Linked DNA regions of Danio rerio. The protein of the gene in region 3 purifies or fractionates together with the protein of the main gene of each other region. This does not show direct contact. Links are inferred from orthologs where the notes say so. Each region holds a gene or a part of one and is shown on either strand. Other genes may lie near its edges.

What was found.
Region 1: the proteins of stk3 (region 3) and map1b purify together in Homo sapiens (affinity purification with mass spectrometry; 4 studies listed by BioGRID and IntAct, with this or other methods). This does not show direct contact. The link is inferred for Danio rerio from reciprocal best matches to the Homo sapiens genes STK3 and MAP1B.
Region 2: the proteins of stk3 (region 3) and slmapa purify together in Homo sapiens (affinity purification with western blotting; 3 studies listed by BioGRID and IntAct, with this or other methods). This does not show direct contact. The link is inferred for Danio rerio from reciprocal best matches to the Homo sapiens genes STK3 and SLMAP.
Region 4: the proteins of stk3 (region 3) and rassf6 purify together in Homo sapiens (affinity purification with mass spectrometry; 4 studies listed by BioGRID and IntAct, counting the BioPlex papers as one, with this or other methods). This does not show direct contact. The link is inferred for Danio rerio from reciprocal best matches to the Homo sapiens genes STK3 and RASSF6.
Region 5: the proteins of stk3 (region 3) and map1sb purify together in Homo sapiens (affinity purification with mass spectrometry; 3 studies listed by BioGRID and IntAct, with this or other methods). This does not show direct contact. The link is inferred for Danio rerio from reciprocal best matches to the Homo sapiens genes STK3 and MAP1S.

Annotation. Positions count from the first base shown.
Region 1 is NC_133180.1:35,902,942-35,906,458, reverse strand, and holds part of map1b (microtubule-associated protein 1B), read left to right. Parts: intron 1-238; coding exon 239-379; intron 380-794; coding exon 795-3,517. UniProt on the Homo sapiens protein: Facilitates tyrosination of alpha-tubulin in neuronal microtubules. Phosphorylated MAP1B is required for proper microtubule dynamics and plays a role in the cytoskeletal changes that accompany neuronal differentiation and neurite extension.
Region 2 is NC_133186.1:44,735,254-44,739,457, reverse strand, and holds the start of slmapa (sarcolemma associated protein a), read left to right. Parts: upstream 1-1,390; 5' UTR 1,391-2,581; coding exon 2,582-2,779; intron 2,780-4,204. UniProt on the Homo sapiens protein: Associates with the striatin-interacting phosphatase and kinase (STRIPAK) core complex, forming the extended (SIKE1:SLMAP)STRIPAK complex.
Region 3 is NC_133194.1:35,272,665-35,276,870, reverse strand, and holds the start of stk3 (serine/threonine-protein kinase 3), read right to left. Parts: upstream 2,814-4,206; 5' UTR 2,698-2,813; coding exon 2,675-2,697; intron 2,389-2,674; coding exon 2,308-2,388; intron 2,216-2,307; coding exon 2,087-2,215; intron 1,988-2,086; coding exon 1,873-1,987; intron 1,747-1,872; coding exon 1,582-1,746; intron 1-1,581. UniProt on the Homo sapiens protein: Stress-activated, pro-apoptotic kinase which, following caspase-cleavage, enters the nucleus and induces chromatin condensation followed by internucleosomal DNA fragmentation.
Region 4 is NC_133185.1:15,418,878-15,422,394, forward strand, and holds part of rassf6 (ras association domain-containing protein 6), read left to right. Parts: intron 1-1,529; coding exon 1,530-1,615; intron 1,616-2,966; coding exon 2,967-3,160; intron 3,161-3,517.
Region 5 is NC_133177.1:39,904,910-39,908,426, forward strand, and holds part of map1sb (microtubule-associated protein 1S), read right to left. Parts: intron 3,469-3,517; coding exon 3,367-3,468; intron 536-3,366; coding exon 453-535; intron 313-452; coding exon 172-312; intron 1-171. UniProt on the Homo sapiens protein: Microtubule-associated protein that mediates aggregation of mitochondria resulting in cell death and genomic destruction (MAGD). Plays a role in anchoring the microtubule organizing center to the centrosomes. Binds to DNA. Plays a role in apoptosis.

The DNA.
Region 1 (3,517 bases), on a different chromosome or scaffold from region 3:
TTTTAAAGTTAAAGTCACAGATAACTGCAAAAAGTTTAGCTGAGCTCATAGAAACAGGCATACTTTTGTTGGCCAGGTTTTTAGGAGTATGATTTCATCTTTTTGGTAACATCAAATTGGTAACATTTTGGTAACATCATTCATTTTTTGTAGATATTGCACTTACATGTTATACCTAAAAATAATCTGCAAATGTTTCTTGTAGTACATAAATAGTATAAACTCTGTTTACACCTAGGTACGGCTAATGGTCTCAGACACAGCCCATCATAAGCTGCTTGTCCTGGCAGGACAGTGCTTTGAAAATACAGGCGAGCTGATTCTTCAATCAGGCTCCTTTTCTCTCTCCAGTTTCATTGACATTTTTACAGATCAAGAGGTAAGTGACTGTTTTTCTTGGTGAAAACATGCACTTTACACTGTAACCTGACAATGTGACCCTGGACAACAAAGCTGATTTTATGTTGCATGGCTATATTTTTGGCTATAATATTGGCAATTTTTGTGTAAACGTTGTTGTGGCAATTTTTGGCAGGTTATGTGTAATGTGTATTGCAATGCACTTTGTGTAGACAACAAAGCTATTTTCTTTGTATTTAGATTTTAAACATATTTCAAACAGTTGTATTTTGCCCAAATATTGTTAAATCCTATTAAACCATAAATTAATGGAAAGCTTATTTATTCACCTTTCAGTTGATGTATAAATCCCAATTTTAAAAATTACATTACTGGCTAGTTTTGTGGTCCAGGGTCAAATTAAGTAAGTAACATATTTCTAATTTGACTTACAGATTGGAGAGCTTCTTAGCACCGTACATCCAGCCAACAAAGCCAGTTTAACCCTTTTTTGTCCTGAGCATGGTGACTGGAAAAATTCAAACCTGGACAAACACAACTTACAGGATTTCATCTACATGAAGCTAAACTCCCCAACCATCCTTCCAGAAATGGAAGGTCTTTCTGAATTTACAGAATATCTGTCAGAATCTGTAGAAATCTCATCCCCATTTGACATGCTGGAGCCCCCAACCTCAGGGGGGTTTCTAAAATTATCAAAACCATGCTGCTATATATTCCCTGGTGGACGGGGTGACTCTGCATTGTTTGCAGTTAATGGTTTCAACATGCTAATTAATGGTGGATCTGATAGAAAGTCATGCTTTTGGAAGCTGGTACGACATTTGGACAGAGTAGATTCTGTTCTCCTTACACACATTGGAGATGATAACCTTCCAGGTATCAATAGTATGCTACAGCGCAAAATAGCTGAACTAGAAGAGGAGCAGTCACAGGGGTCTACAGCTAACAGTGACTGGACAAAGAATATGATCTCACCTGATATTGGTGTTATGTTTGCCAACATGCCTCAGAACCTGGAAAATCTTGAACCCAACTACAGAATTAGAAGAAATGCAGAGGAGGCAGCCTTCACACTGCAGTACTTAAACAAGTTGTCTCTAAAACCTGAACCTCTGCATAGGAGTATAGGTAATACAGTAGAACCAATTATACTATTCCAGAAAATGGGGGTCGGAAAGCTTGAAATGTATGTTCTTAACCCAGCTAAGAACAGTAAGGAGTTGCAGTTTTTTCTGAAAGAATGGTCTGGTAGTGATAAAGACAAAGCGACCATCTTGTTACCAAATGGAAAAGAATCAGAACTCCCCGTGTCATATTTGTCCTCTATCTCATCGCTGATTGTGTGGCATCCTGCTAACCCATCAGAAAAGATTGTCCGCGTCCTTTTTCCAGGCAATTCTACTCAGAATCATATTCTAGAAGGCCTAGAAAAACTTAAACACTTAGACTTCCTCAAATATCCTGTGATCACACAAAATGAGCTCAATTTAAACTTAGCCCCGACACTGAAACAAGCAAAGATGAAACATAAGACAGACAGTAAAGAGAGTCTCAAGTCCACATCAAAACCATCCCCTACCAAAAATCTCCACAAAGAATCCAGGGAAGAAACCACTGAAAAACTAAAAACTGTAAGTAAAACTGAACCAGCAGAAAAACAGGAGCCAACACAAAAAATAGAGAAAAAGGAAAAAACACTTGTGAAAAAAGTGAAAGCAGGGGAAAAGGACATTAAAAGCAAGGTTGAGCAAACACACAAAACTGACACTCCAGAGAAAAAGAAAGTTGAAATTAAACCAAAAACTATAAAGAAGGAATCCAAAAAATCTGTGGAAAAGACTGAGACTGTTAAAACTGAAAAAAACGTACCCAAGAAAGAAGACAAGGTTAAAAAAGAAGACAAGGTAAAGAAAGAAGAAGTGAAAAAAGAAATTAAAAGACGAGACGTCAGGAAAGACTCCCTATTAAAGGAGAGCAGAAAGGATGAAAAGAAAGAATCCCTAAAAGATTCAAAAGAGCCAATGAAAGATTTAAGGAAAACTGGTAGCTTGAAAAAGAATGCCCCTAGCACACCTGATGTGAAAAAACCTGCACCTAAACCAAAGGTTGCAGCACGTGGGAAGAGCCCTGGTAGCCCTGCCAGATCTAAAGACAAGGCCAAGTCCAAGCCCACCAAAAAAGATGCAGGAGAATCAGTGGCAGCACCTTCCGTCTCAGGAGCCACGGTTGAAGAGCCCACCGTGGAAGACAGTGCAACAGATGTACTTGAGGCAGAGAGATCACTTATGTCTTCTCCAGAGGACCTCACTAAAGATTTTGAGGCTTTGAAAGCAGAAGAGATGGCTGAAGATGATGAGGTCCTTTCTCAGACCAAAATAGACGATTCTAATCAAGAAGAAGTGATTAGACATGAAGAAATAACTCATTGCAAAGAGTCTCCAGAAGCAGCAGAGTCCCTGGATGAAGGAATAGCAACCACTGAAGCTGAGGAGGAATGTGGAGGTACTCCAGGGGAACTAGAACCCAATCAGAAAAGCAACGGTACCAGTGAAAAGTTTGAAGATGAAGGGACAGGGTTGGAAGAGTCCTCTGAGTTAGGGGACTATGAAGAAAAGGGAGAGACAGAGGAAGTGGATGAGCAGGACAGAGCAATATCTACATTAAAAGATGAACAGGCAGAGCTTGAAACCAAGGAAGGGGCAAATTATGGTACCGATGAACCAGAATATCTTGACAAAGAAACAAAGTTGCAATGTTTTGATGTAACCACACCACCAAAGCTCACTGCACCTTTGTCTCCTGCTGATTCAGTTCATGATGAAACCCTACCTGCAGGTTCAGAAAGTGAGGCTGCCTCTGATGATGAAAACCGAGATGAGCCTCCAGAAGAATACACAACATCTGGACACACTCAGTCTACGATTGAGATCTCAAGTGTCCCAACGCCTATGGATGAAATGTCAACTCCAAGAGATGTAATGAGTGATGAGACAACTAATGATGAAAGCGATTCTCCTTCCCAAGATTTTGTCAGGTACGGTATAACTACAGAACATGAACGAAAGAAACTTTCACCTCTTCAAGATGTTCCTGAATTAGACCACTCCAAGAGTGATGCCACTGAGGGCCATGATTATCATGTGTCAGCTTCCAC
Region 2 (4,204 bases), on a different chromosome or scaffold from region 3:
GTTGTGTTTATTTGTTAGAGCCCTTTTTATAGAGCCAGATTGGTCTCAAAAATATTACATTTAAATAATATAATTCATATATTCACAACTCAAGTTACAGTTACAAAATCCAATTCATAAATTCTAAACGAGATTCATTAATAAACAAATCCAACTTGTAAATTGAAAACATGATTCATAAATACACAAATCCAATCCATAAATTAAAATCGCGATTTATAAATACACAAATCCAATTCGTCAATTCAAAACGCGACTCATAAATACACAAATCTAACTTGTCAATTCAAAACACGATTTATAAATACACAAATTCAATTCGTAAATTCTAAACGTAATTCATAAATACACAAATACATTCCGTCAACTCAAAATGCGATTCATAAATACACAAATACAATTCGTAAATTTAAAACGTGATTCATAAATACAAAAATCCAATTGGTAAATTTAAAATGTGATTCATAAATACACAAATTTAATTCGTAAGTTCAAAACGCGATTCATAAATACACAAATTTAATTTGTGAGTTCAAAACGCGATTCATAAATACACAAATCCAATTCGTCAATTCAAAACGCGATTCATACATACACAAATTCAATTCGTAAATTCAAAACGTGATTCATAAATACATAAATCCAATTCGTCAACTCAAAACGTGATTCATAAATACACAAATACAATTGGTAAATTCAAAACGTGGTTCATAAATACACAAATCTAATTAGTCAATTTAAAATATGATTCATAAATACACAAATCCAATTCGTAAATTCAAAACACGATTCATAAATACACAAATCCAATTCATAAACTGAAAATGCGATTCATTTACACAAATCAGATTCGTAAATACAAATCGCGATTCAAAAATACTCAATCCAATTCATAAGTTTACATGCAATTTATAATTACTCAAATTCAATTTGTAAATTTAAAATGTGATTCATAAATACACAAATCCAATTCGTAAATTGAAAACACTATACAAAAATACACAAATCTAATTAATTTGGTGAAAGTATTTATGATTTTTGCTTGTGAATTTACAAATTGTTGGTTGTATTTACAAGTTGTGTTTTGAATTTACAAACTGGATGTTGTAAATGTGAATTGTGCTGTGCATGGAGGAGTTTTATTATGTACATGTATTATTTTTGAGACTGATCTGACTGGCTCCATACTTTTTTTGTCTGTTCAACAAATTGTTTTACCTGTTGTTGTCTTGCTTGTTGATTGTAAATGAAATGCTATTACAAAAGAAAAAAATAGCATCCGAAAAATGAACAAACAAACATTATTTTCAATCCGCATGAAAAACGTCATCCTTTTTCTCTGGAAACGCGGATCCGCCTACATTTTCGCGTCACCGCAAAGCCCCGCCCCATATCTCGGTGGTGCGCGAGCCCCGCGGCGGTTTGTGGCCGGTGTGTATGTGTGTGTATATCTCTTCAAGAGGACGACTTACTTCCAATTATCCCGTCGCACACAACGATTTCCCTCCCGATTTCAGCGTTCCGAAAAGCGGAGACCTCCATGGCTTAACACGGGACCGTGTCATGGACTTTATTCGTGTATGACTTTCTTTTCTGGGGAAATTTTTGTGTCTCTCAGCAGGCTAAGCTAGTTACCGAGCTCGCGAGCTAATACTGGATTTACGCAAATTCTCCGCGCATGAAAGTTCCACAGACCGAACAAATAGCTGGTTTTCGGGGATAAATCAGCTCGGGGTTATTTATAAAGTCTCTTCCAGCTTGGACGGCTCGATAAGGTGAAAGTAGAAGGCCAGTGTTACCTCAGCGAAGCTAACAAGCTAATATGAAGTTAGCCAGCTAACGCTCTCGTGCGCAAGAAAACACCCTCCGCGCGAGCTGTGCTCTTGTATACAATCCTGACAGCTAAATACTTGCATTTGAAGTCTGTTTAAGTAGGCATTTGAGGTATTTTTCAATATTAATTACTCTGTCTTGGGGAGTGGTGGCTTGATGGTCTGCTCTGCATACTTCAGCCAAACCCACTCACATTATTATTAATCTTCATTACGGTTTAACATTTTCACAAGTGCATTTCGTGCCTAGCAGTCATTCCCTCTAAATATAGACACGCATGTCAACTTGACAGTAATACTTCTTTTTTTTTTTTAGGAGTAAAGGTTGACCAATTCAACAGGTTATTGGTGTACTAGTTGCTGGGTTGTTTACTGGCCAGGCCTATGCTTGTAAAGGGGGACGAGGATGAATTGTGTTGGGAACGAAGTATAACAGCTCGAATTGTGGACTGTCATCTGGACACCCAGATTTGTATGGAATTGGGCAGCTGTATTGGGTTTGGTTCGGCAACATGGGGGTCTCGCAAGGGGGCAAGAAGTCATCTACATAGTGTATAAATATACAGTCTTGTTGACGTTATGTAGTCGGTTTAGCAGGGGTCTTTTTGTAGAGTTGGAATTTTTTTCGTATTACTATGTGCGTTGGTCTGCTGGTCATTCATTAGGAAGAATTGGAGCAACAGGTCAGTCTGGATCAAGAAACCCTGTCTTTCGTCTCTGGTTGGAGTAACACTCCCAAGCCATCCTCAATGCCTTCAGCGCTGGCCGTGTTCTCCTGCCGCCCGAATTCACACCCGTTTCAGGAACGCCATGTTTACCTGGATGAGCCGGTCAAGATCGGGCGCTCCGTGGCCCGGTGTCGCCCTGCCCAAAACAACGCCACCTTCGACTGCAAAGTGTTGTCGAGGAATCACGCTCTGGTATGGTTCGACCACAAGACAGGCAAGGTAAGTCTGATGTTTCACCAATAGATTGGATGTTAACTATAAACATTATTCATTAGATGTACTTATTTTTTTTAAGGTAAGTGGTTGCAAAAATTAGCATGAGCTGAATTTAAACAAATAAACGTTACTACATTTAGTTTGTTTAAATTCAGTCTATATAAATTGTTTGCAACCACTTGCCTCAAAAAAGTTAGTAAGTCCAATGAATATTTTTTTCAGTGTTTGACATATCCACCTCCATCTTTCTTGAATTATTAAGATTTTCTTTGTATCTATCTGTCAATGTTGTCACAATTGTCTGTACTAGGATTATATAGATAATATCCCCACCCAAAAGTAGATTAAGATGGAATTTATGGCTAAATATACCACTGCATTAGATCAGTGTTTCTCAACCACGTTCCTGTAGGACCACCAACACTGCATATTTTGGATGTCTCCTTTATCTGTTACATTCATTACAGGTCTTTCAGTCTCTGCTGATGATCTAAATCAGGTGTGTTTGGTTAAGGAAACATGGGGTGTTTCTCAATAGGCGTTTTTCAGCGATCCTGCGTCCTCGTGTTCTTCTGTAATGTCGTCATTAACTGCCTATGTTCAGTTCCAAAACTCAAGACGGCAAGAACGGAGGACGCGTGAAAGTTGCCAGATGTGTTCTTGATATCGTAGAGTCATCGATGCAGACTTGAGCACAAAACTTGCTTGAGAAGTCCTAGAAGTCGTTGTGGCTGTATGAAGGAGGTGGGAAGCGCAGCATTTTATTTAGATTTATTATTAAAGTTTAGAGATGTAACTTATTTACTTCAGGAGTTTCCCTAAATGAGACGGTGAATTTAAACATTACCATGTAAATCATAATAATGGCATAAGCACATAAAGGGTGTTTACTTGTTGAAATTCGTGTTAAAATTAGTTTTATTTGTATTGTGAAGCATATATTTGTACGTTTTTTTTATGCATGGTATATATTATGTATGGGGGAAAACAATAAATCGTTGTTGTAGGAATGCTGTAATGTTTAAACCATATTCCATTAAAAACATGTGAAGGTCACGTCACCATCAGGAAGACCCAGGGAAGAACACAGCATCTCATTTCTCACAGGATGCGTTCTCTGTTCTCAGCGTTCTAGGAATTAAGAGACAGTCTAGGAACATGTGCAGAGCTGGTGGTCCTCCAGTAATGTGGTTGAGAAACACTGCATTAGATCACAGGTGTCAAACTCAGTTCCTTGAGGGCCGCAGCTCTGCACAGTTTAGTGCAACCCTAATTAAACACACCTGATGAAACTAATTGAATTCTTTAGGCTTGTTTGAAACACACAGGTAAGAGTGTTGAAGCAGGTTTGGAACTAGACTGCAGGTCAACGTCCCTCCAGGAACTGAAATTGACACCCCTGTGTTATATAGTAAATATATTAGCTTT
Region 3 (4,206 bases):
ATATTAGCCGATAAATATAAATATCTCAAAATGTTATATTTTATACAGTGAACAACTGATTTCATTTTTTTTTTAAACTTTGTAAAAGTTTGAACTGATCTTAAGGCCGGCTTTCACTGTGCGATTGTTTTTTTATAATCCTAAATGATTGTAGCATGTCAGACTGCTCGAACATGGCTCCCATGCCACACTGTAAGATCTCAGCTGTCATAAAGTCAGACTGAACGACAATGAAAATGCACCAAACATGAAAGAAAATGCCCCCGGAGTTTGACGTCATCCACCCGTGACACTTTCACTATCCCACTATCCCCGCAATCTGTAGCTGCAATTTTGCACACGGCGTGTCTCAATAATAAAACCAGAATGAAAAAGACTCTTTGACATTTTCACATGGTCATTTGAATTGTTGCATAGATTGTGACATCAAATTCTGAGGTCCTATTGGTTCTCAGATTGCAGCTGTTGTCACAAAAAAAATCTGATCGCAACGGGCTTTAAGCATCTGTCACTGAACATGTCAAACCAACGATCAAAGATCACGAATTTCAAGAATCTTTTAGGATTTCCCATCGTCTCAGATGACAAAATTGTGGCTGAAATCTTAGTGTGAGCAGGGCTTTATGAACTGAATAGTCTATACTCAAAACAAAAAAGCAATAATTTCAAAATTGTAAGGTGATTATATAGACCAGGGATGTCCAAACTTGGTCCTGGAGAGCCGGTGTCCAGCTAAGTTTAGCTTAACTTGCTAAAACACACCTGCCAGGAAGTTTCTAGTATATCTAGTAAGAGCTTGATTAGCTGGTTCAGGTGTGTTTGATTTGGGTTGGAGCTAAACCCTAAAGGACACCAGCCCTCTAGGACCGAGTGTGGACAACCCTACTATAGGCCTAAATTTATGATTTCACATAAATAAGCATTCCAAAACTTAATGGTTTCCCTTTCATTGCTTAGAAAATTAACATCCAACTAGACCGTTGCATAAAAACAATAGGTTAAATAACAAAATCAAACCGAATACAATCTTACATCAACAACGAATGGCAAGCAACGCGTTGATAATAACAAATAATCATATTAGATTACAAACAACCCAACGAGTTGCTTAGCATGTGTGCATCGCTGCTATTATATTTACACATTTAATACTTTGCCTGAGGCGATTTAAACCAAAATACACAATGATACTCTATCAAACATATCTGATAAGGGATATGGTTACTTACAGAGTTATTTGCGCACAGCAATACCACACAAAGAAAGGATGGATGAATAAACAATGTGAGATAAGCTACGTTATAGTGCACTGGACACGTCTGAACAAGGTCGACCAACGCATGCGCAAGGCAGGCAGGTCTGTACAATTACGTAATCTGTCGGCTTTAAGATATTGGCCTAATTTTGATTTCGGACCAATAACAAAATAAAATTTATCAGCAATAAAGATATGGCCGCCGATATATTGTGCATCCCTAGTTAAATTACTTATATCAATGTATTTATTATAATATTATTTATTTTTTAACAAATAAAACCACATCAATCTATGCAATCTAGCAGGTAGGTTGAAAAACTCACGGTAAGTTGTCCAGCTACTCCGAAATCAGCTAGTTTAGCATGACCTTCAGTGTTGAGGAGAATATTCCCGGCTTTGATGTCCCTGTGGATTTTCCTCATAAAATGGAGATATTCCAGACCTTTCAGTGTGGATTTGAGGACCGTGGCAATCTCATCCTCAGTAAGCTAGTCAAGCAAATAAAAGTCTCTGTTATGAAGCTCTATTGATACATCAATATCTCTTAGATATAATAATCTAACTTAAATTACACTGATGATGCTATATAGTGCATTCATAGTATTTTTATTCACCGTTTTGTTGCGCAGTCTAATAATATCAGACACAGATCCAGCACCACAGTACTCCATCACAATCCACAGATCTGTGTTTTTGAAATAGCTGCCATAGTACTTCACCACATATGGGCTGTTAAAACACAATGAGGAATGAAAATGTTGTTACGTTCTTCACACACATCCAAATTTACATTAATAATAAATATATAAACTAAGTATGTTGTTTTACCTGTCACATTGCTGCATTATGGAGATCTCCTTGATGATCTCTTGCAGGTCTGATTCGACAGGAACCTGTTTAATGGCCACAACTTGGCCTGATTCCTTGTGAATGGCTTTAAAAACACTTCCATATGATCTGAAGCAAAGTGCATTTGAAATGTAGAAGTGTCAAACAAAACATAAGCATTCATATTCACTACCTATGTTGACAAATATTATGCTACCCACCCTTCTCCAAGCTTTTCAAGAACATCAAATACTTCCTCTGGCTGCTTGGTAAGACTGTCTTCACTGAGTTTCTTCAGCTTACTGTTGATCAAAACAGTCGAAACGTTACTTTATTAAATGCATAAAACATCATTGGATCCCACACTAGCAGTTATAACGTAAAACTAGAATCTACAATATAACAAAACTGCATGAAGTCAGACTGCGTTGAAGTATTGATCATGTAGTTATAAATACGAACATCTAAATATAAACCAAACGATCTTTTATAGTTCGGTCGGCGATCTGAAGTGTCAGTTTCGTTGCTCAGATGAGGCCTGTAAATATTAGCTTAGCTGTTAACTGGTTAGCCGAGATAGTGACTTACTTTTTGGGCACCGAATGCTCCATTCTTGTTATTCAGATAAAAATATAATTTGCGTAAAAATGTAAAAGTTGTTTGCTCAAACCCTAAGGGAAAAAGCAATAACGCATGTTTTGTTTGGAGTTTAAGGAAGCACTGCTATGTCTTTCCGTGCCGCTGCTAACAACGATGTGAAGCCAGCTGACGTGTGTAATTTTCCATGAAAAACGACTCGTCAAAGTAAAAGTCCTACAAACGTAATATTTTACAGTATGAGATACTACAATTTTCACTCGTTTGACGACGAGCTTGCAAGTTGCGTGTATCTTTGAACGGAGTTTGTTTGTTTTGTTTATTTTAAGAACTATAAAAAATACGAACAAACTATCTGAGAAATACTTGCATACATTCTCTCAGTTTTATCCTCTTAATATTATCTTCTTTTTTTATTGACAAGCAGACATCGGCCTGTATAAGATTCTGACGGTATGATAACCTTGGATGAAAATATTATGGTTACACGGTACCACTGCTCTAAAATATATTCTTTTTAAAGAGCCCATATTATGGGTTTTTGAAAATTCCCCTCCATGTATTGTGTAACACAGCTCTAAGTGAAGTGAAGTATCCAGCTAAGGCTTAAATCTGTTAGTGTACAGTGTTTAAAACGGTTGATTCATCTATAAAAGAGTCGACTCATAGTGCTTCAAACGAGTCGCCTTGATACCGATTCATTAGGTGTTTCGCCATGACGTACGAACGAAACCAAGTTATTCACGTGCACGCGCAAACCCGGGAGATTTCAAACCTGAGGCCCCGCCCTCTGACGCAGAAACCCAGACACACACACAAACACACACCCACAAACACACACACACACAAACATGCCGGTCGATTGAAGTCACACTGCAGATGGATATATTGAGTCTCTACCCAAACATAAAACCTCAGCATTATAACCAAGCAGTTGGAAACTACTGGAAACTTCTGGAAGCTACATGCTACAAAGAATACTTCATCAGCGTTTGTTAAAGGAAGGATCAGTAAAGAGTGACTTATTGATGGACGTCAGGATTTTTCTTCCTCCATTTCTCAAGTGTAAGTACGTGCGATTAAAGTTGCCTCGTTGACTCTAGCTTGCAAATGTATTTAGTTGTGATTTGTTACTTGTAACCGCGTGTACTGTATCAGGTTAACTGGCTATATTCTCTTATCGCGTGCAAAGTCACGTTAAAAACGCGACGCGTGCTGCGTTAACGGAGCTCCGTGGACGAGGAGTAGTGTGTGTGTCTGTGTGTGCGTGTGCTGTCGTCCGGAGGTGTGTGTGTGTGTTTGTGTGTGTGTGTGTGCGTGTGTGTGCGCGCGCGTTGTCGTTCGGAGCAGGGTTAAGTGCGTGTGTGTGTTTGTGCAATATGTGTGTGTGTGTGTGTCTGTGAAAAGAGCAGAGTGAGAAGCTAGGAGATCTCCTCAACTGCTTTTGGAGTTTTTGCTCAATAAAATAGTCAGTCGTTTGTATTTTCAAGTCCATAGTCTGTATTTACATTGACCCACTGGCA
Region 4 (3,517 bases), on a different chromosome or scaffold from region 3:
GCATTTCTCAAAACAATTAGTACAAACTGCAAAACCTAGTTGATAACCTGCAAAAGTGTATCACTCATTCCATTAGCTCATCCCTCAAAAAAGGTATTCCTGTCAATGAAAGTGTCAGTGTCATAAAAGTCCTGACACTATTGTTTATAAACAAGTCATAGTCATATGACTTTGTCATATTTTCATTATGACAGTTTACTCTGTACAATTTTTCCAATGCAAAAAAAAGTCAGATTTTGGTGACACTTCCTGTTCAAATGCTCAAGACAGCACTTTTTTGCAGTATTATATACTACTTGCCCAGCCTAAGTACAGTAAAGCTACACTACAGTAACTACAGTACTGTAAAACTACAGTAAAGTTAGACATCACTGCATTTAGTGAGGTATCTGAGTACAAGACACTGAACAAGTATGTTTCATATTTTTACTGCATATGCTCATTTCTATTCCAATGTATTCACAACATTGTACCAAAAAATAAATGCACCCTTATTTTCAACAAACATAAACTTCCTTTGGGTAGAGCTGTGCACAACTGTAAACATATTGCAGTGCATATTGGAAATGAAACTATAACATACATAGGTCTGTAAATCATTCATGAAATTGTTCAATTTAGAAAACATTTTCATATATATATATATCAACTTATAGATCAACTTTTTAAATTTTTTTTTTATAAAATTAGATTGAAAGATTCTGACAACTAGTTTAACATTTTGGCAAAGCAGTGACGCAGTAGGTAGTGCTGTCGCCTCACAGCAAGAAGGTTGCTGGGTCGCTGGTTCGAGCCTCAGCTCAGTTGGTGTTTCTGTGTAGAGTTAGCATGTTCTCCCTGCGTTCGCGTGGGTTTCCTCCAGGTGCTCCGGTTTCCCCCACAGTCCAAAGACATGTGGTACAGGTGAATTGGGTAGGCTAAATTGTCCGTAGTGTATGAGTGTGTGTGTGTGGATGTTTCCCAGAGATGGGTTGTGGCTGGAAGGGCATCCGCTGCGTAAAAACTTGCTGGATAAGTTGGCGGTTTATTTCGCTGTGGCGACCCCGTATTAATAAAGGGACTAAACCGACAAGAAAATGAATAAGTTTAACATTTTCGTATGTAATGACTCAAGTAATGAAAGGAGGACTATTAGTTTTACATGCAATGACTTTTTAGCATTCAAGTTTAGTTAATTTTGACTAACATGACATAAGCTAATGATAATGTTATAAACAGAGAGAGTTGTGAAAGCAATTGATGCATGTCCAAAAGCTTTTGCAATTTGCTGGAAGGAATGAGAAACTGCTACTATGATGTGCACAAATGACTAATTGTTTTGAGAAATGCATTAACTGTCAGGCAAATGTAAATAGTGTTGTGAGAAATGCACAAAAGCCACTGAGAAAAACTGTAAGTGTTTGAATCCTATATTTATGTTTTTTAAAGCATGAAAGAGAATTAGTGCTGTTTTAGGCTTTGTTGAAGATTCTGTCTTATGTTTTCTAATTCAATTATGTGTTTTGTGATTCGATCAACTGTGCCATTAGGGGTATGACACGATGGGGAGAATTTGACAACCTTCACAATATTGCTGAACTGGAGGAAGCTGGATCACCTGAAAATCCTACTGAAGGTTCAGTTTCTTTAACATTATTTGATGTTACAGTAGAATTTGGACTATGGTAACACAACTGATGGATCATATATGGTATTTCAGAAAATAAATGAATAAATATTAATTTACTTGAACACTTGTTCTCTTAGTAGAACATTAAAAAGGATATTTAGGCAAAATTGTGATTCTTGGTGAATAACAAAATACATATTCATGCAAAACAAAATTAATACTGTAATAATGTTTCCCTGAGAAGTTATAAAGGAAATCGATCAGTCTGTGTAACAAAGATCACAAAGAAGAAAGCATAACATTTAATCCATAGCTTTTAGTGCATCTATAAGAGTTATGGTTGTTAGGGATGGCCCAAATGGACTTAAAAGATTTATCACAATGTTTTTTGGCATTTGTGATAAGAATATCAATGGCAATATAATTCATATATATATATCCACGAAGAGATCTTTTTATAAAATAGTGGAGAGTTATTCAACCCTGCTTCTGAATGCCCACTGTGGAGTGGAGCTCAGCAATAATCAAACACTAAAGCAGCTAATCAAGATTTTCAGGATCATATAAAATACACATATCAGGTATAAAATAGATGTGCTAAAGCAGTTTAAGGCTCTTATTCATAGTTGAAGTCCCCTGAAATACATGTCAATATTATTTATGTTTCATTTAAACTGGACACAAGAGGACGCCATAGTGTATAATCTACTCATATAGATTATTAAGGATATCAGATAGGCTTCTACTGAGCAAATAGGAGACACATGATAGCAACAGATAAATGAATCAAACGTGAACACAATAAAAAAAAAATCATTGTAGCAATATATGAATTATTTATGTTCTTTAAGCCATCCTAGGTTTTGTATAAGGATAAATTATATTTATAATGCAATCTAATTGACGTCTGCTCACAAAAAAAGACACTCGACTAATGTCATGAAGTTTATTAAGTACTTAAGTCAGTAAATCTGTTAAAAAGGAAAAAATGTATTTCACATGTGCTACTAAAATAAATCACTGCAAATACTAAGTGTATATTTAATTGTAGTTATTACTATTGTTAGTCTATTGTTTCCTGTTGTGAACAAATAATAAAATATCTCCCATCTTGAATGAGTATTAATTCAGTTTTCATCAGTTTCATCATTTCTTTAAAAGTCATGTTCAATATTCTACTGAAGCAATAAAAACATTATAGATGGCCTAAGGATGAGCAAGCTAACATATTTACATTTTTGGGTGAACTATACCTGAAAAACAACTAGTGTACTACTACATTTAATAAATGACAAGTTGTTCTGCATTAAAAAAATTACTTTCATATTTCAACAACACAATCTACACTCTCTTCTAGACTACATCGTATACGAGACCATGACTTTAAGGCCATCGCGGACCATGCAAATCAATGAAGATAGTTCATATCTGATTCGCACCATGAGCGACGCCTCGCTGGTGAAAATGAGGGTGAAAAGTAAGAAGATGATTGAAAGTCAAAAGAACAGAAACCATCGCTTCTCCATCAATGGACACTTCTACAACTATAAGGTCTGTAGTTTAATTGCAATGATCCAAATGTCAAGCTTGGGCCTGTATGCAATCTATGAGTAATACAGTGTTGTTATAAGTTGTTATAAGTTATCATAACACATAAATAATACATGAATACAATATTTTTAAAAAGCAAATGTGTATGCTAAAAATTTGACTTTGAGAGGGTTAGATGCTAAATTCAGAAATGACACTTGTGGTCAATTAGTGAAATGCAGCAAGTAACTTACTGCTTGTTTTGAATGTTTCTTTATGGTGCGTTATTTATAATTTGCAAGCACAATTATGAACATGTCATCTGATGTTTGAATATGTCTGTTATGTACAGTGCAGACAATTTTGCTGACAAAAGTT
Region 5 (3,517 bases), on a different chromosome or scaffold from region 3:
TAAAACAGAAAATGGCTAGAATATTTCTGCATAACAGAATCATTTGAAAAATTATATATTCAAAGATAGGTTAGATTTTCAAATATGAGGACAACCCATTAAAATGTTGCTGTATTTTACACATTATGTATACATTATTCATTACATTTTGCACTTTTCAGTCCAACAAACCTCTTCATCTGAAAAGATCTGGGTGAAATCATTTGGCGTGAATTGCCCCGTGTGCAAGACCAGATCTCCAGAGTCTTCAAGAGACTGTCCTGTCAGCACCAGCAATTTGTGGCGAGGTATGGATGATATCAAGCTGTGAACCTGTAATTATAGTTCAAAATATATATTTTATTTTTAAAAATGTGTATATTAGAATTCTTTATGCATATTATTATATTGCGTGTTTTTTAATGCAATACATTTTAAAATATGAAGAAGAGACTAATTTAGGTGTCACACACCTCAGAGTAGAGAACCCCTTCAGATGGATTCACTACAACTTTAATGTCCAGAACATTTGAACTGAAATGAAATGTCTTCTGACCTGTAATGAAAATGGAGACAGACTAAATGGGTCAATAAAAAAATTAACCAGAATATGTAAGATGTCATGCAAATCCGAATTAATACTTTGAATTCTAACTCCACTAAACTTAAAAGTGGAAACATGTGGCCCTTTACTGGACAAGAATGAAAAGACTTGACTTAGCTGAAATGTCTTTTAAATGATGAGTCACATAACATTGTTTTAATGCTGCCAGTCTAATCTTAAATATAGAACCAAGTATTGCAAATTTTAAAAAGTGAGATTTCCTGAGTATAAGTTCGGCGTACATCTGTCTGATTTGTCAGCAAAATTATTTTCAAAACCGCTGCAACAAAAGTGTTTCACTGCTGTTTTTCCAACAGCAGCCAAAGTCTGAACAATTGGTAGAAAGCATTTCCTTCCTGCCTTTCTGCTCTGTGCTCTAGAATAGCAAATTAGGACCAACACGCCAACCTAATACAACATTCTTTGAATAACAGGAGCTGCCAATCAGTTTACTTGCACTCAGTTTGGATATACCCTATTTAACTAGAAAAATATCAAATTAATGATTGCCCTCCCGATAGAGCAAAGAGAACACAATAGTGCATTTCATATACAGTGCTCAGCATAATTGAGCACACCCCATTTTGAAAATGAATATTATTATTAGCAAAAAAAATTACAACCTACAAAATTTCAACAAATTTTTTAAATTTTTTGCTTCTGTTATTTTTTCCTCATTTTAAATTTGTATTTAATATTTTTCTCTAACATATACATTTGGCTGTGCTAGTTTTTGTACCATTATTGTAAGTTATTTTGTTCGATTAGCTCCAGATTTGGCTTCAGTACTGACTAATATATATAAATATATATATATATATATATATATATATATATATATATATATATATATATATATATATATATATATATATATATATATATGCACACATATAATATTGTATAGCTTTTTAATATAAATATTAATTTAAAAGAGAGATTTGTGAGGGGTGTACTTATATATGCTGAGTGCTGTGTAAACAAAATATTAAAAAATGCACGGAAATCACACACATCGTTCTAAATGGGTGCTCGGCCAAACATCAAAACGTGCAAAAATATATTTAACAAGGCGACAACATAAAAGCTCCAAAAATACCAATTTATTAAATTAACAAGGCTAACACAAAGCATGTAATGTTTCGAGCACACCGGCTCTTCATCAGACAGTGTGCTTTGTGTTAGCTTTTTTAATATAATAAATTGGTATTTTTGAAGAGTTTTATGTTGTCGCCTTATTTAATACATATATAGTTGAAGTCAGAATTATTATCACAGTATGTCTAATAATATTTCTTCTTCTGGAAAAAGTCTTATTTATTTTATTTTGGCTAGAATAAAAGTAGTTTTTAACTAAAAAAAAAAATATATATATATATATATATAATTTAAGGTCAAAATTATTAGCCCCTTTAAGGTATATATTATTCGACTGTTTACAGAACAAACCATCATTATACAATAACTTGACTAATTACCCTAACCTGCCTAGTTAACCTAATTTATCTAGTTAAGCCTTTAAATGTCACTTTAAGCTGTATAGAAGTGTCTTGAAAAATATCTAGCTAAATAATATTTACTGTCTTCATGGCAAAGATAAAAAAAAAAAATCAGTTATTAGAAAAGAGTTATTAAAACTATTATGGTTAGAAATGTGTTGAAAAAAAAAATCTTCTCTCTGTTAAACAGAAATTAGGGAAAAAAATTATTTAGGGGGGGCTAATAATTCTGACTTCAACTGTATACGAAATAAAATGGAGACCATATTCTTAGATCAAGTAATAAAAAGAAAGTTAGCTTTTCATTTGTAATCAATGGAAAATTTTCATTTCAAGAGCTTCTAATAAAAAGAATGTTGTATTCCAAGAAGCAAAAGCAACTTTAAACATTTGGTGGTGCTAGATTGTTGTGGTCAATGTTCAGACTGTCGCCTCAGTCTGTGTTGCAAATTTATCAAAAGCAGAAGAAAAAAGATCATCGAAATGATTATCCATTCATATTCCTTCGGCTTTATTCTCTATATAATCTCTATTTCAAAAGTCGCCACAGCAAAATGAACCACCAACTATTCTATATGTTGTACACAGCGGATGCCCTTCCAGCTGCAACCCAGTACTGGGAAACACCCATACACACTCTCTCTCTCTCTCACACACACACACACACACACAGATGCACTACAGCCAATTAAGTTTATTTAATTCACTTATACTGCATATTTTTGGACTGTGGGGGAAACCGGAGCACCTGAAGGAAACCCAGGTGAACAGAACATGCAAACAGAAATGCCAACTAGCCCAGATGGGAATTACCCAGCATCTTTCTTGCTGGGAGGCAACAGAACCACTAAATGAATATTTATAATTCATTTATTTTCTTTTCAGCTTAGTCCCTTTAATAATCAGGGGTTGCCACGGCAGAATGAACCGCCAACTTGACCAGTCTTTTTTCAAATTTCTGAATTGAAATAAAAAAATCGAAATCTAAAATAATCTTGTTTTTTTTAAAGTTCTGGCAATAGTTAAGTGAGTTTACCTGACTCACACACATTGAAAATAGGATTTCATTATTAATTATATAATAATGTATTATATAGCAAAGATACTGTATATAGGGCTGTACTGGGGCCGAACTACACAGTTGCTTCTTTGTTAATTCATAAGATTGCATCCCACACACATATCATTCGCTCAAAATGAGCTAGAAAAGATTCCCAGTAATGTCCTTTAAAAGTGTAGCCTATCTCTGAGGCTCATGTTTTTCAGTCAATAAAAACAAAGTACCTCTTATATCCTTGGATTCATAATAAGAATGTTGGGAAATAAAAAGCTTCAGCTGCTCATCCAAGTTACACACTGTCAGGTCTACATCCCATGCACGGATCCCTGTGTGAGGAGATGCAAATACATGAAAACATTGTAAGCATAATCACAA